Callithrix jacchus: one gene and its partner. The protein of the gene in region 2 interacts with the protein of the main gene of each other region in a biochemical or structural test. Links are inferred from orthologs where the notes say so. Each region holds a gene or a part of one and is shown on either strand. Other genes may lie near its edges. The genes, in order: NGFR and NGF.

Region 1 (4,398 bases), on a different chromosome or scaffold from region 2:
TTCGAGGAAAGGAGCTAATGACCTGAGACAATGCAGCCCAGAGACTTGAGAGCTGGCAGGGGCTCGCTCTAAATGCGTGGGCCCAAAGGCAGAGCGCACGATTTAATCTCTCAGACTAATGACAGTTTAGCACCTTGACGCCTTCCACGATCTGGAAGGTAGGGGAGGGAGGCAGCCTGGCATATGGAGGAAAGAGAACATCCCAGGCCAAGCATCCCGGCTTTCAACAAAGGTGCCACCACCGAGTCACTCACTGAGGGAGCCTGGTCTCGGGCCTGAAAGTCTGGAATGTTCTGTTTCCTCAACTATGAGGTGGCAATAACTAACTTCACCTTGCTAGGACTTTTTAAGTATTAAATAACTCAAGAGAAAGTACCAGGGCAGTGCGAGCACGTAGTAGGGACTCAGCTCATTCGATTATTCCCACCTCCCCACCCGGGCCCCCAGGGAGGAAGCGAGGCGCTTGAGCCAGACTGGGCTGGTACAGCGGGGTGGGGGCCCATCACCCCGGAGCTACCTCCCCATCCACCATCCACCCCAGCCCGGCAGCTCACGCACGCCCATTTGCTGCCCTCGCTCCATCCGTATTGGGCGCATTAGCCAGCCCGGCGGCTCTGGTTACAGACGTCTGAATGACAAAGTGCCTCCATTACCGGCGCGGCCCGCCAGCCGACCCGCCGGGACGCGCTCTGGTTTCAGCGCTCTCTCGCCGCGGCCCAGGAAGAAACTCGGAACGCGCACAGCTCGCCCAGACGCAGCAGCCGCGCGCAGAGGCGGAGGCGGGAGCCGCAGGGGCTGCAGACGGCAGGTTCCGGTCCGGGTCCACCTTCACCAGCGCCCAGGCTCTCCGCGCCCAGCTCCCCTCCTTCCTTGAGTCTCGGCGCGGGGACCCTCGCTCCTGCTCAGACCGGGAGCCCACGTCGTCGTCCCTCCTCCCCGCCCCCCTGGTCCACGATGTCCCACCCGCAACGGAGCGGTGTCTCTAACCGGCAGCGTTAGTCAGCAGACGTGCCCGCGGTCACTCCCAAATCCCCGGACACGGCCACAGGTCCCGACAGCTCCAAAGAACCGGGGCTGAGCTTTTAGGGTGGGGCCCGCGCCCGGACAGGGTCTCTGCCCACCCTACCCGCAGGCTCCACTGCCACCTGACTCTGGGGAAGGTGTCAAGCCCGCCCCTGCTGGGAAACGCAGCCTTGACCCCGACCTGGGACAGCGGCTGCCCCCTGAAGAGGTGGGGGAGTGCGGAGCTGGGAACCAGGTTGGGGGAGTCTAGCCACAACTCTGGCCCAACTTGCTGTGAGATCTTGGCCAAGTCGTTTAAACTCTCAGAGCCTCAGTCTCCCTATCTGTAAAACCGGGATTTGGAGCGCAGCGCTCAAATGAAAGATGCTGGCAAGGAGAGTGAAGACACCTCCTCCATGGCCAGACCTTCCCGGGCATTCGGTTCATGGCCACACAGCAGGCCACACTTGACAATCTCGTCGGACTGCCGGGAGGACTGAGTCGCCGACCTTGGCCGAGTTGGTGACTCAGGACACGGCGCGGCAGAATCCGAGACGTCCGGGCGCCCCGGTCTCGTTAGGTACCCAGTGGCTTGCACCGAGAGCCAGGCGAGGCGCAGACACGATCCTGACCCTTCGAGGCGCGGGAGCCCACGGAGCGCGGTGGGCGCGGCGCTCGGGTCGCGCATCTCGGTAGGGGGCGGAGCGCAGCCCCAGACTCGCAGGCAGCAGCAGACGGCACTTGCCTCGCCCCGCAGCGCCCCCTGCCGGCTGCCTCCCGCCTGCGCGGGACGGGTCCCCGCCTAGTGCGCCCGGGCGCTCTGCACCCTGAGACGTAGGCGCCGCCAGCCGGGGTCCGGACACACCCGCTCCATTCCTCGCGATCCGCCGCGCTGCTTCAAGCAATGAGAACACGCGCGTCGGAGGAGCCCGCCGGCCATGGGGGAACTTGGGGAGCGGGTTCGACCTGGCGAAGTGGGTGCTCCCCTCCCAGCCTTAGATCGCAGCCACAATTCCGGGACTGGGAGAGGCCATGAGCAGGAGCGCGGGGACAGGCGCGGGAAATGTCCAAGACTCCGCTCTCACTTCTCGTCTCACTGTCCCTCAGTGGGCCCCGATCACTTTAGGGTGCGCGCCCCGCTCCGTCCGCTTTCCTTTTGCTTCCATCTCTCTGCAGCCCTGGCTGTTGCCCCTCTTCTGCCCTCCCTAATCCACTTCTGGTCCCCAACCTCTCCCTCCGACGCCCCTCCCCCCCATTGTCTGGCCGGTCCCCATTGTCCTTGCCGGGTCCCCTCTGCCTCCAATCCCTCCGACCTCCTCCATTGTTCCATCCCCTGGTCCCGGGCTACCCCCCACCAGCCCAGCTCGCCCCTCACATCTCTAGTCCGCTTCCCGTTCCCCGTCCTTTTCTCGCCTGGGTTCCGTCCCGCGACTCTCCAGAGACAGAGATGCTGAGGGGAGAGTCCCTCCGGGATCCCGGCATTGGAGTGTCCTCTTCCGAAGAACCCGGGCATCAGAGAGCCCCATGCCACCTCTCGAAAGACCCCTCCCAGCTCCCTCACCGCCCCCTACGGTACCTGAGGACCGGCATCCGTGCCCCGGTCGTGTCCGCATCTCCACCCTAGACTCAGGGTCGCCTCTGCGCTCCGAGAACCCTAGACCCTCCTTCGTGGTCCCAGCATCAGAGCGCCTCTCCCACCACCCACCCTCAGCATCTGGGACCCCAACGCTCTGTTCTGTTTCCTGGGTGGCGGCGCCCGGCTCTCCTCGGAGTTCTCATCCCGGGAAAGGGAGCGGGCCCCCTCGGGCTAACACTCACCCCCAGAAGCAGCAACAGCAGCAGGCGCGGCCCGTCCATGGCGCGGCCGGTGGCACCTGCCCCCATTGCTCGCCTCCCGCGGCAGCGCAAGGCTTCCAGCTCGGTCCGCTCTGCGGACGGATGGGGCTGCGCTGCGCCGTGCTCCAGCGCACCCCGCGCCCGCCGGAGCTGGCCGCGTCTTGGCTCACTCTGGCCGCGGGCGGGAGGGGCTGGGTGAAGCCAGTGCGGCGGCCCCGCCTCCGCCCCGCCCATCCCGCCCACCCCCGGAACCGCGCCCGCCCGCCCCGCCGCCTTAGGGTGGGGAGCGGAGGCAAAGGGAGGGCGTGCGGTTCCCCGCACCCCGCTGCCACTTCTCCTCGCCTTGTTCCTTAGAACCTCTCACCCATCCCGCCCTGGTACCCAGTTCCCGGCCCGCGCTACTGCGCGTCGGTCCCGGATGCTGTGGGGCCCAGGGCCCAGGGCGTCCCCACTGCGGTTCCCGTTCTCTCCGGCTGCGGCCCGCCGCAGGGTTCATTCTCTTACCCATCTTCCCCCGCCTCTGGCTTCACCTTCTCCCTGGAGCCTCGCTCCCTACCTGGCCACTATCAGTAAGAATGCCCGCTTGCCCTCCCTGCCCTTCATCTCTGTCCATCACCTCATCTCCACCCCTGTGCCCACCTTTCTACTTTCCAGTGAAGAAAGTCCCTGGGCAGAGTCCTAGGGGGAGGGGAAGGGCGCAAGTGGCCTGACTTCGGCCATGGACATTCAAGGTGGAGTCCATTTCCACATTTGATTCTCAAATGAGGGGTTCGAAGGGGTCACAGGTGTGCACACAGCGCACAGGAATACACATTCTCAGGCTCACCTGTAGGTGTGCTTGTGCACTTACGTGTGCCCACACTGTCCTCCATGCACTTGTGCCGACCTGTCTTACACATGCATCTCTGCAGGCATGCACACGCACATATGTTATTCAGACATGCAAAGTGCTTACCTACACATTCACACATGCATGTATGTAGGTAGTCATGTCTGCAAAAGCCCTCACATGTATACAGTCACACAAGCGCACACACATTCATGAGCGCACACACACACTGACACTCATAAACAAACAGCTGCATCTTCAACAATATAGACGCCACTAGACTGTGAGTGGCTCCATGGGCTTATAAGCTCCACAGGCAGGGATTATGGTTTCTTCTCCGAATTCCTGGTGTACAGTAGGAGTCAAGGAAGTTCCGTAGAAGGGAATAAATAGAAAAGTGAAGTGGACTCATATCTGTGTGCCCACCCATATACTAGGACCAAACTCGTCTTGCCCTAGAAACCTTGGAAAGTCTAAATAACATGCTTCCCAACCCAAAAAGTATGCCACCCACCCCCACGCTTACCCCTTGCTTGTTCCCTCTATTTCTGTATTCCCATTCATCAAGACCCTGGAGCACAGAGTTGGTGTTTGGAGATTTCTGCAAAGCCCATCCAGCACTCAAATTTTGGCCATGTTCAGATTTCAGTTTCCTCCTTGAAAAAAAAATTTCACTACCCTCCCAATTATGGAAACAAAAGGGAGATCAAGAGCACCTATGGGCCGTGTAT
Region 2 (3,805 bases):
ATCATTCATTCATCCACTATCTCCATTCCCCTCCTTATTGCTCTGCTTCTTCCTCCCTGTCCTCCATCCGGCCCTTTCAGTTCTGTTTTGGTAGCATTCTCTTGAAACTGTGCTTTCCCTTCCATTCTCACCTGTGGGCCCCTAGTTCAGGTAATGGGAACAGTCTCCCACCTGATGTCCTGGACCCCCATCTCTCTTCTTCCAATACCTCTTATCCCTGGCCACCCCAGGTAACTTCTTAGAGTCTGCTCTGATCATATCACCCTGCTCAGAGGAGCTGGTGCCAAGCCCCTTGTCTATAAGCCAGTAGGGACTTCTCCGCCTGGCATTGGGATCCTGCCTCCTTCTACTCCCCTCACATACTTTGCATTCCGGGCATACAAAACTCCTGGGGGCAGTCCATCGCTTGGGCTTCCCCACCACTGCCCTGTTTCAGACTCTTCCCCTCCAGGTACGTTCTCTTGCTCTCCCGGGGCCTTTTTGGCTCTCCATCTCTGCTGGTGGAATCCTTCCTGCTGTCCTTCAACAACTTCAATGCCACCTCCACCGGGGAGCTTTTTCTTATTCTGAGACAAACTCCCTTCTCTATCTCTTAAAGCCTTCCCTTTATGTTCTCTTAGGGCAGTTGCACTCTCTTATCCTCCCTTCTAGAGGACAAATGCCCTGTAGGCAGCAAAGTTTCCTACTCATCTTTGTTGACTCCCAGGTAAGTCCACCTCCAAGAACCCGTGAGCATATAGACAAGTCTCCTGCCTCCAGTGTTTCCTAATTCTCCATTAAGTGCTAATGTTGAAGGGATCTTCCCACTATGATATGCTTTGATTTTAAGCCATTACGAAGTTCTCTACTCTGCCTTGCATCTACTGGTTTGACTGAACTGACTTCACAAAAGTTCAGTTCTTAACTGAACACTACTTCTCACCTCACAGTCAAGATGCCAAATGGTGCCTGGTCACATTTAATCACAATGGAGATTTGTATCACAAGCAGATTATTTCATTAAGACTTGAAAATGTCTCAAGTATATCCCTCATTTGGATTTTAGGTTTAAAGTTTTTTTTAAAAAAATTTTAGTTTATTCATGAGAGCGTGTTCCTATAAACTTTTAAGTTAAAAAAACTCGATTAAAAATGATCAGTAGATAAAAGAAGAATCGAGCGCATCTTCTGTTCTAGTGATATAATGCAGTTTAGAAGAGAAAACTCTGTTTTTGGCTGATGTGAACCAGGGGAGAAGTTTTATTTATTTATTTTTTTAAAAAACCCGTTGAAGCCTTTCTCCTGAACAGATGACAGCCTTCTGTGTGGCTTCATGAAGCAGAGCTCTGCAAGCTGAATGGTCAGCAGGGAGGATGCGATTAGGGGCTCATGTGAAGGAGCATGTTCTATTTAATGTGAGAATGCTCTTTAATTGTGCGATTCCTACCCAGAACGGAAGACCCATGACTGAGAGAGGGTGGCCCATTGGGATGCCTTTATAACCAGCCACTGACGGGCTGCCCAGCCCTCTTGCCTTGTCCTGAACCAGCCGTACATTCTGCGGATTTCTAGTAGTTCACGTACTCCGATAATAGAAGAAACTTCTTGCACTAGGTGAATGATCTTCAAAGATTCTGCCTCACCTGAATAGGCGATGAAGCTGCGGGACAGAACTAAGCAACTGACCCAAATATTTGTGGCTAGGAGGCCTGATGGCACTGGGAGGCTTGGCAGCCATGCCTGGGGAGGTGTGTTGTAGAAGGGAGTGAGAGAATTCCTGCCTCAGAGAGAGCCATGTGAAGAGCTGCAAGTGATTCTCAAGCTAGAGGCTGGATACATGAATCCGGGTCACTAACTTGGCAAGAGAGGAAATTCTTGTGGCCAAGGAAATCCAGTCTCCTCCTCCTCCATCTCATTCGCCACATTCTGAGAGTGGGTCAAGGGTCATTTCTTGTTGTATGTGGCTTGGCCTTCACTCTACATGTTAACTGGCTGCTGTCTTCAGTTTTAAAGGCTCGAATGCTCTTAGGGGTTGGAGCTGGTGTGGAGTGTGAGAGGAATTCTCTGGCTCCTCATTTCCCCAGCAAGAGGTGCCCTGGGCTGGGCTGAACAGAGGGAGGCATTGACAGAATAAAATCCAGAGCCTCTGTTAGTATCTCCCAGACAGGATTTATTGGGAGGAGGCATGGCCTTGAAGGTACATCAGAGATTCAAGTTCAAAGGCTCTCAAACTTCAGGGCATCAGAATCACCTGGAGAATTTGTTATACTATAGACTTCTTGGCTCCACCCCCAGAACGTCTGGTTCTGCAGGTCTGGTAGGAGGACATTAAGAATCTCCATTGCTAATAAGTTTCCAGGTGATGCTGATGCTGTTGGTCTGGGGACCACATTTTGAGAGCCATGAGTCTAGCCTAATTCTTCAACTTTGTAGAAGACAAAATGAACCTTGGGGAGCCACTGGACTCTTGCAGGGCTGGTGTGCCGGCTGCATGAATGGGAACCAGATCTACTGATCTGAATTCTTAGAGACATACCTTAACATGAATGAGCTGAGAAAATAATGATTATTATTTACTGGGCATAATTTTCTATTTAACCATTATGCAAGCCTGGGAGGCTGGCCATATTATTCCTATTTTACCGATGAGAAACCAGAGTTGCAAGATTAAGTAATTGCATTACAGGCACACACCAAGCAGAAATAGAACTCATAGCCAGCCCTCCCGTGTGCGGATCTGAACGCTCCACTCCACTGGCCCAGGGCAAAAAGAACAGCTGCGAACCTTCCATTTCACAAGTTCCCGGCTCAGTCAAACTAGAGAGTTGTGTGGAGGGTTTGACTGATGCTGTCTATTCAATGCCTTGTGTTCTGTGACTTTAGACCTTTGATGTAGCTTAGACTCCTGCTATGTCCCGGGAGGTCGTGGGGCCAAATTGAGGATATAAAAGATTCCTCTCCTGAGTGGGCTAGGCGGGCTGTATTTGCTGTATCACTGACAGCATCTCCAGGCCCCTGCTGCTCAGCAGTTGGGTATGTCTTGCCCTCTCAGGTTCTATCACTTGGGTCCCCTGCTTCTGGCAGCTGCAGAGGTAGGACCTTGGCAAGGCAGAGGCCCCTTAGGCACTTACCTCAGTGTGACCAGGATAGAAAGCTGCTCCCTTGGTAAAACTGTTATTGGGTCCAGACCCTGAGCTGAGCTTGGGTCCAGCATGCCATCTAGCCCCTTGGACTGCACGACCACTGGCCAAAACTCTGTGGAGGGGGAGAGCCGACATTAGACTGGTACCTCACCACCTTCCCTGTTCCCTACACAGCGGGGAGGGATGTGCCAATAGGACAAATTCCATTTCCCTGATTTCTGGGATTTTACCAGCATCAGGGCCCAGGAAGGAGCTAGAGTTTGGCCACCAAAATTTACCTGGTCCTGGCCTCTCATGGTCCTGTGGCGGCACATGCCTCTCACTCTTGCACCATACCTTTTGGGTTCAGCCTGGACACAGTCCATGGCTGATCTTGCACCTAGCGCAGGTGTTTCTAGACCCACGCCAAAGTCCTGCCCCAGCAGATCGTGATCCAGCATCCAAGTGGAAATTGTTCAGTACATCACACATGCAGCTGTAGTAGATCCAAAGCTGAACCAGCCTAGGATACATTATACAGAAGCAAAGGCCCTGACGGTTCAGAGCAAGTTGGTGCTTTGATAAAAATGTGGATGAGTAATGGTGACAAATGAGACAGCCTGACCACTTGAGAGAGAGTATGGAGGCGTCACAGAATCAGAGAAGAACCTCAGAGCACCGTGTTGAAATTCAGATTTCAGGACT

What was found.
Region 1: the proteins of NGF (region 2) and NGFR form a complex in vitro, tested with the Homo sapiens proteins (2 studies listed by BioGRID and IntAct, with this or other methods). The link is inferred for Callithrix jacchus from reciprocal best matches to the Homo sapiens genes NGF and NGFR.

The regions. Positions count from the first base shown.
Region 1 is NC_133506.1:116,811,735-116,816,132, forward strand, and holds the start of NGFR (tumor necrosis factor receptor superfamily member 16), read right to left. Parts: upstream 3,012-4,398; 5' UTR 2,887-3,011; coding exon 2,821-2,886; intron 1-2,820. UniProt on the Homo sapiens protein: Low affinity receptor which can bind to NGF, BDNF, NTF3, and NTF4. Forms a heterodimeric receptor with SORCS2 that binds the precursor forms of NGF, BDNF and NTF3 with high affinity, and has much lower affinity for mature NGF and BDNF.
Region 2 is NC_133508.1:153,271,428-153,275,232, forward strand, and holds part of NGF (beta-nerve growth factor), read right to left. Parts: intron 3,234-3,805; coding exon 3,110-3,233; intron 1-3,109. UniProt on the Homo sapiens protein: Nerve growth factor is important for the development and maintenance of the sympathetic and sensory nervous systems.